Linked DNA regions of Ovis aries. The protein of the gene in region 1 purifies or fractionates together with the protein of each later gene. This does not show direct contact. Links are inferred from orthologs where the notes say so. Each region holds a gene or a part of one and is shown in the gene's direction. Other genes may lie near its edges.

The links. Proteins that work in one complex are often made in the same cells at the same time.
Region 2: the proteins of NEK2 (region 1) and ANAPC7 purify together in Homo sapiens (affinity purification with mass spectrometry; 3 studies listed by BioGRID and IntAct, with this or other methods). This does not show direct contact. The link is inferred for Ovis aries from reciprocal best matches to the Homo sapiens genes NEK2 and ANAPC7.

Annotation. Positions count from the first base shown.
Region 1 is NC_056065.1:71,252,455-71,256,518, forward strand, and holds the start of NEK2 (serine/threonine-protein kinase Nek2), read left to right. Parts: upstream 1-1,264; 5' UTR 1,265-1,355; coding exon 1,356-1,451; intron 1,452-2,653; coding exon 2,654-2,871; intron 2,872-3,152; coding exon 3,153-3,393; intron 3,394-4,064. UniProt on the Homo sapiens protein: Protein kinase which is involved in the control of centrosome separation and bipolar spindle formation in mitotic cells and chromatin condensation in meiotic cells.
Region 2 is NC_056070.1:54,337,691-54,341,650, reverse strand, and holds the start of ANAPC7 (anaphase-promoting complex subunit 7), read left to right. Parts: upstream 1-1,160; 5' UTR 1,161-1,233; coding exon 1,234-1,334; intron 1,335-3,370; exon of another isoform or gene 3,371-3,400; intron 3,401-3,960. UniProt on the Homo sapiens protein: Component of the anaphase promoting complex/cyclosome (APC/C), a cell cycle-regulated E3 ubiquitin ligase that controls progression through mitosis and the G1 phase of the cell cycle.

The DNA of each region.
Region 1 (4,064 bases):
CACCCCTTAGATAGAAGGCTCCAGGTGCAGTATCCCAGGTAAAAGTGGGACAATTCCAGCTGGCAGGGTGAGTTGAAAATGTTGGTTTTTGTGCACACTCCAAGAGGCTGCATTCAACAAAGTGTTTCAATTATTTATGTGCCTGGCACCTCAGATAATCTATTCAGAGTGCAAAGGTAGTCTTTTCTAACAACAACAACAAATTTTAAGTCTTAAAGGTAAACCTGACTGTCTCTGCCTTACATTGTTGTTTAGTCACTAAGCTGTGTCCAACTCCTTTGTGACCCCACGGACTGTAGCCCACCAGGCCCCTCTGTCCCTAAGATTTCCCAGACAAGAATATTGTGGGCTGCCAGTTCCTTCTCCAGGGGATCTTCCCCACCCAGGGATCAAACCCGCATCTCCTGCATTGGCAGGCACATTGTTTTACCACCGAGCTACCAGGTAAGCCCATCTCTATCTTATAGAACCACCATATTCTTCTGGGTATTTCAAAACATCAAGGACTTCCATATTCCATTTTCCACCTAGAGATTTTGTACACGTCTGGTGTTCAAAAATATACTCTCTCTAGGACGGCTGCACCCTAAAGTCATGTGAAAACTTTAAATCATTACTATAAATATCCACTGTTTTTGCATTGAGTCCTCGCTTTTGGACCTAAAGCAAATACTGTGACCTTTCTACCCTTCCGTTTCTTCATGGGAAATAACGCTAATTCCTGTATTACAAACCAGACAATACATGTAAAGTGCTTGGCACAATCCCTCAGCACTGTCGGCCTCACTCGCGCACCCTTTACAGAGGGCCGGTACTTTTCACCTCTGCACTCAGCTTTTCTCCCAGGATTTAGTATATGACCCCGCCCGGGTTCAGGGGGCGGGAATCTGAGAGCGGAGGGCGCGTGCCGGAGAGTGAGAGGTCACAGTGCAAAGGTCAGAAGGCAGTCGGTTGAGGCTGTGCGCTAATAACTGAAGAAAGATCTCTGGACTTAGGTTGCCTCGGCAACCTCAGCGGAGGAGGCACAAGGTGGCGGGGACCGCCCACTCGCTGCAGCTTTCGGTCCCCAGCCCACCTTGGGCTTTAGCTCCGCCCCTTTCTCCCTGGAGGTTGGCAGCGGAAGTCGACACAGACGCCGACGCGGTTGCCTAGCGATACCTTTTTCCCAAGATGCCCAGCGTGTTGTGTTCTTCTTAACCAATTAGAGAGGCGAAGCGGCCTCACCGCGAGCCAATAGGCTGCGAGGTCGGGGCCCGCGACGGTTAAACCGGGGCTGCAGATCAGGGCGGCCGAGCGTCGGGGCTGGAGCTCTGAGGAGACTATACGGCCCGCAGACGTCCTGCGCGGGCCCCGCCATGCCGACTCGGGTGGAGGACTACGAGGTGCTGTACACCATTGGCACCGGCTCCTACGGCCGCTGCCAGAAGATCCGCAGGAAGAGCGACGGCAAGGTGAGCGCGGGCCTGGTCCCTGCCTCCGCCCCCAGGCCGCCCAGAGGAAGCAGGGAGCCTGGCGGTGTGCATCTGAAAAGCAGGGTGCTCAGAAGAGCCAGCCTTCTCCCCCAGATCTGTGTCTGTCCTGGGTCTCTCGAGGGATGGGAAGCCGCATCCTTTTTTTTTTTTTTTTTTAAATTTGTGAATCTGTGCCTTAATTCTTTGTTGTTGTTGTTCTGTCGCTCAGTCGTGTCCGACTCTACAACCTTGTGGACTGCAGCACGCCAGGCTTCCCTGTCTTTCACCAGCTCCCGGAGTTTGCCCAAGTTCATGTCCATTGAGTCGGTGATGCCTTCCAACCATCTCGTCCTCTGTCGTCCTCTTCTCCTCCTGCCCTCAGTCTTTCCCAGCATCAGAGTCTTTTCCAGTGTCAGCTCTTATCACGTGGCCAAAGTAAAACTAATAAAATGTGCCAAGTAGAATGTATGTATATATATATGTATATTTCTTCTTCTCCTGTCTTTTTTCCATTCTCTTCCATTTTCTTCCTTTTTTCTGCTTTGACCTGCCATGGGCCTTCTGTTGGTGACTGGTAGCTGACTCCTGAGCTGTTTTTAGAGAAATGTAATTCTCTATCATAACCATCAGAACCTAGAACTTTTATGTCTTGTAGTCAGAATTCATTTAGTTCAGTTCAGTTCAGTCGCTCAGTCGTGTCCGACTCTTTGCGACTCCATGAATCGCAGCTAGCCAGGCCTCCCTGTCCATCACCAACTCATTATTCCCATTGTTAGATTCATATCTCCCAAGGTGTGTGGGTAGACCCACACAGAAAAATAATGGAAAGGAAGTTAGCTCAGATGGAAGGGTCTTTACTAAGTTCTCTTACCCTAGAAATTTTGACTAGTTGGAATGGTTGGGGACTTCAATCGCCTTTGCTCCAGCTTTGATTAGAGTACCTTCTGCCAACCTCCCACTAGGCATTGAGGGCAGAGGGTTGGGGGCGGCCTAACCTCCCTCGTCACCCTCTGTTGCATCATTCACTGCTTAAAAATTAGGGGAAGGTTATGGAAATAAACTCAGGGGTCCTCAGCTCATTAAACTAAATTAGATAAATAGTGACTGTATGATCTGTTTACTAGATAAGTAACTTTTTTTTTTAATTTGAAAAATTTGGAGTTATAATGAGTTCATTTATACCTTGGAAATTTTTATTTCAGATATTAGTTTGGAAAGAACTTGACTATGGCTCCATGACAGAAACTGAGAAACAAATGCTTGTTTCTGAAGTGAATTTGCTTCGGGAGCTGAAACATCCAAACATTGTCCGCTACTATGATAGAATTATTGACCGGACCAACACGACCCTGTACATTGTCATGGAATGCTGCGAAGGAGGAGACCTGGCTGGTGTGATTTCAAAGGGAACCAAGGAAAGGTAAGATAAATTCATCTCTTAAATGGGCCTAGTTTTGTTTCTGGAAACATCCTATATTAGGATCAGGGACAAAGTACTTAGTAATGGGGAAGAGTCGTCTTGTGTTTGTTCAGTGGGTCCACAGTACTTTAGAAAATCCCTGGTAAGTCAACACTTGAATTTCATATCCAAATAATTTATTTCCCTATGTGTATACTTAGAAAACTAGATAATTCACATCCTGTCATCTTTGTAATGGTTTCATTCAGCAGATACATGCTACATAACTGCTTTGATTTCAGACAATACTTGGATGAAGAGTTTGTTCTTCGTGTGATGGCTCAGTTGACTCTGGCCCTAAAGGAATGTCACAGACGAAGTGATGGCGGCCACACTGTGCTGCATCGGGATCTGAAACCAGCCAATGTCTTTCTGGATGGCAAGCAGAACGTTAAGCTTGGAGACTTTGGGCTAGCTAGAATATTAAACCATGATACAAGTTTTGCGAAAACATTTGTTGGCACACCTTATTACATGTCTCCTGTAAGTATTTCAAAATGTATATACTTTTAAAACATCTTAATGCTAAGCATTCAAGCAAGGAAATTTATTTCTTTGTTTAGTAATATCTAATAGCCAAGAATTAATAATACTGTTTTATTTTAAATTGATAATTTTCAAATGGACCGTCAGACCACTAAAAGATTATTATTATTTTTTGTTTTGATGTGGACCATTTTTAAAGTCTTTATTGAATGTGTTACAGTATTGCTTCTGTTGTTTATGCTTTGTTTTTTTGGCCACAAGGCATGTGGGATCTTAGCTCCCCTACCAGGGAGCAAACCTGCACTCCCTGCATTGGAAGGCGAAGTCTTAACCACTGGACCCCCAGGGAAGTCCCACCACCAGACCGCTAAACTTCTATATCAGCAATGCAAGTCAGACTTTCACTGAATGGCTGCCACGTGCTAAGCTTGGGGATCATAGAGATGAAATAGGTTTTGTCTCTGCCCTTAAGTACAGTACTTCCAAAGTGCCATAGGTCCTGGACACCAGCTTGTTCTCAGCTGGAGTGATAGTTTAAAATGCAGAGTCCTGGGCTCCAGTCCAGGGACTTAGGACCTCTGGACTGGTCTTTGCACTCAACTTTTTATCTTTTTGTCCCCTACCTTTTTATTTTGGACTCTGTATTTTAGCAGACTCCTTAGATGATT
Region 2 (3,960 bases), on another chromosome or scaffold:
GTACACATTCTGTTCTTATCAGCAGTCCTACATTTGAATAGTTATAAAATTCCTCATCAAATCCACAGTTTTTCCAGACAGGAACCCATTGTGTCCCCCTTTGCCTGGCAAAGCAATAAAGCAATGTTTTTCTCCTTCAACCCCACTCCCAACTATTTTCACTGTTTCTTTTCTGACCATTATTGTTGGTCATCTTATTTCAGGGCTATTACTGAGAATACAATAGGAGTGGTCAAGAGACTGAGAAAAGCCACAGACTAGAAAATATTTTCTGATAAAATCTGATAAAGAGGTGCTATCCAAAATACACAAAGAACCCTTCAAACTGAACAATAAGACCAGGAACACCCTGGGAATTCCCTGGAGGTCCAATGATTAGGAGTCCCTATTCTCATTGATGAAGGCCCAGTCTCAATCACTGGTCAGGAAACTAAAATCCCACAAGTTTCTTGGGGCAGCAAAAAGAAAAAAGACTAAAACCAGACAAAAGATCTATATAGATACTTCACCAAAGAAGCATATGAGAACATGCTCAGTTTCACAAATCACTAGAGAATGGCAAATTAAAATCACAATAAGATAACACTGCACTCATAGGCTAAAACTCAACCTGCTGTTGATTCACTCTGAGCTAACGACTAATTTCACAGGGTCAAAAAACGCCCTTTGGTCCCCAAAGAGCGAAGCCTGACTCCCGCAGGTACTACAGACACAACACCTGAGAGGAGGGGGCGTGGCTCTTAGAGCTCGGGCGAGACCGTTAAAGCAGTTAGGACTGCCCCTGGCGCCTGATTAAGATATTTAATTCCAACTGTTGGAGATTTTCCCTCCGCACCCTACTAGAATATTAGTTTTTATTTATGATAAATGTTAATACATTTTAATTAATTTTAAGTCTAATTTCAGTTGATCCTGAAGTGCCTTTTGTCCCCAGCCAGCTGTAAGCCTTCAGGAAAGGTTACAACTTAAAATGATGTAACTTTTGCTAAAAACAAACCAAAAAATCCCAAACTAAATTGTACCACCTCACAGGGAACTTGGCACGGAAGGAACGGAGGTTTTTTTGTCGTTGTTGTTCCTCAGGCATTTAAGTAGTTGCCTATTACTCTGGGGGCGGGGCCGCGTGTAGACCCGATGGACCCGGGTGAGGCCGCCATTTTGGACTCTTCCCCAAGGAGCTTCAGCCGGCTTTTCGCGCTGCCGCCGCCGCTATCTGCGGCCTTTCTGGGCAGAATGAATGTGATAGACCATGTGCGAGACATGGCGGCCGCGGGGCTGCATTCCAACGTGCGGCTCCTCAGCAGCTTGTTACTTACAATGAGTAATAACAACCCGTGAGTTGAGGCGGGGAGCGGCCTGGGTCTCTGGAGAAAGTGGCGCCGGTTTGGGAGCGGGGACTGTGGGGGCCTGGGCATTGGCGGGAAGGAGCGGATGCGGGCTCCCGGCTGAGGTTCCGAGGTCAGCAAGGGCCTTGTCGGGCGCAGCAGGCTTAGGAACGCAAGTTGAGTTCGCCGGGTCCCCGCGTTGTGCAGGGCGCTGGGACGCGCTCCCTGCGGGAGATGCGGCGAGCGGCTGCTTGGAGAAATGAAGGCCGAGGCTCTGAGAATGACCCTGGCTAAGATTTCCAGGAAGTTGGAAGCAGAGGGTTCGCTAAGGCACTGTCGCCGGTCAGAGCGACAGTCACATCTCTGGGCTGACTCCTCTCTTCCCGAAGAACGTTTTCTCTCGCCCAGGCTCAAAGAAGCCTTGTCCTGGCCCCTGATTAAAATACTTCGTTTTTAGTTTTAGATCCTCGTCCCACGTCTGAGGTTGATTTTTCTTTTCCCCTTGAGTGTATCAGTAGCATTTGCTTTCTCGTTCGCGCAAACACCTGAAGACGGGAGACTTCCTGGGTGGGTGGGAGTGGCGCGTTTTTAAGGACCCGCAGTGACCCTTTGACGTTTTCAGATAGTCCATAGGATTGCAAAGAGTCCGACACGAGTAAAGTGACTTAGCACACATTGCGGATGAAGCGGTGGGTTATTTCTAGCCTTGACTGCTTGCCCCTTTGCTTAAATTTTTCATTGTGTTTAAATGAAAATTTCTTCCCACGGCCTATGAAGGCAAAGAGCTCTCTCCGACTCAGTCTTACCTACTCTGCTCTCTGTATTCGCTTCCCTGGTTATGCTCTTCTGTTACTTGAACACCCCAAGGTCTTTCTCAGCTCAGGGCTTTTGCGTTTACCATTCTGCTTGGAGTCCAACTCAGAGCTCCCTCCTTTAGGTTTCAACTCAGATATCCTTCCTAGAGAACTCTTGTCTGGCCGTCAGAATTGTTCCTGGCCCTCAGCATTCTATCTCTTTACCCTGTTGTATATTATACATCACTTTTTGTTTGTTTGTTTGAGATATCTTTGACTTGTTAGTTTCAGATGTGCAATATGATGATTTGTTATTTGTATATACTGTGAAATGATCACCATAGTAAGTCTAGCTAACATCTAACAACCCCACATAGTTACAGAAAAATATTTTTCTTGTGATGGGAACTTTTCTATATTCTTTTTTCTGTATTCTTCTTCTTAACACCTAATGAAGTCTGTAGTGTGCCTGTTGATGTGCAAAGAAAGTGCCTGCAACCTCACAAAGTTGAAACATGGTGTTCAAGTTGACACATTTAGTAAGTGGAGAAGCCACAATGTCTGGGTTTTGGTCCTTCTGACTCTAAAGTCTCATTCTGACCCTCCATAGTCTACTGTGTCAAGTGGCATTACAATCTACTCAGTGTGGACCGGTTTGCATTTGCTCTGGAAGCTGTCTGGGCCACTTAACTGTGTTGCAGCTGTTTTTCCCTGTTTGATTTCCACTAGTGTGCTTTTAGACCTCACTATGTGAGGCCCATCATTTTACCACCATCCACTTAGTGTTGACAGTGAGGAGCCCTGGTCTCTGTCAGCCTACTTTGTTTATTCTGGAGCCTTTCACCTGGTTCTTAGTGAGTTGTCAAAGTATACAGTGTCAAAAAAAAAAAAAAGTATAGTGTCAACCATTGGGAATTTATACACTGGTCAGTCATTATTCTTGGTTTTTCAGATGTTACAGGATAATTAGAAGGAGGTTGGTCTTCTGATTAGATTTAGCCCATTCTTCTTTATATTAGGCTGAACTGGCAGTTTCCTTCCTGCTTTCAGGAGGTGTTTAAATTCTGACCGTAATCATTTCTATTTTAAAGTTTATTACTTAATCTCCAGTATATACCATTAAAAAAAAAAAAAAAGAAAGCAGTATGAAGGGGTATGCAGATAAGTGTCTGCTCCGGAGTCTTGAACTTCACCCCACCTTTTCCCTTCTCTGGAGGCAACAAATTAACAGTTTTTCATGTATCATTTCAGAAATAACTTGTGGATGCAGTAAGTAGGCATGTAAGTTACAATATATAAACATCTGAATGCTTTCTCTGAGGGAAATATTATCAAATCAACTGTTTTCTTTCAAATCTTCAGTCGCTCAGTCGTGTCCGACTCTTTTGTGACCCCATGAATTGCAGCACGCCAGGCCTCCCTGTCCATCACCAACTCCCGGAGTTCACTCAAGCTCATGTCCATCAAGTCGGTGATGCCATCCAACCGTCTCATCCTCTCTCATCCCCTTCTCCTCCTGCCTCAAATCCCTCTTAGCATCAGGGTCTTTTCCAGTGAGTCAACTCTTCGCATGAGGTGGCCAAAGTATTGGAGTTTCAGCTTCAGCATCAGTCCTTCCTATGAACACCCAGGACTGATCTCCTTAAGGATGGACTGGTTGGATCTCCTTGCAGTCCAAGGGACTCTCAAGAGTCTTCTCCAACACCACAGTTCAGAAGCCTCAGTTCTTTTGTGCTCATCTTTCTTCACAGTCCAACTCTCAAATCCATACATGACCACTGGAAAAACCATAGCCTTAACTAGAGGGACCTTTGTTGGCAAAGTAATGTCTCTGCTATTCA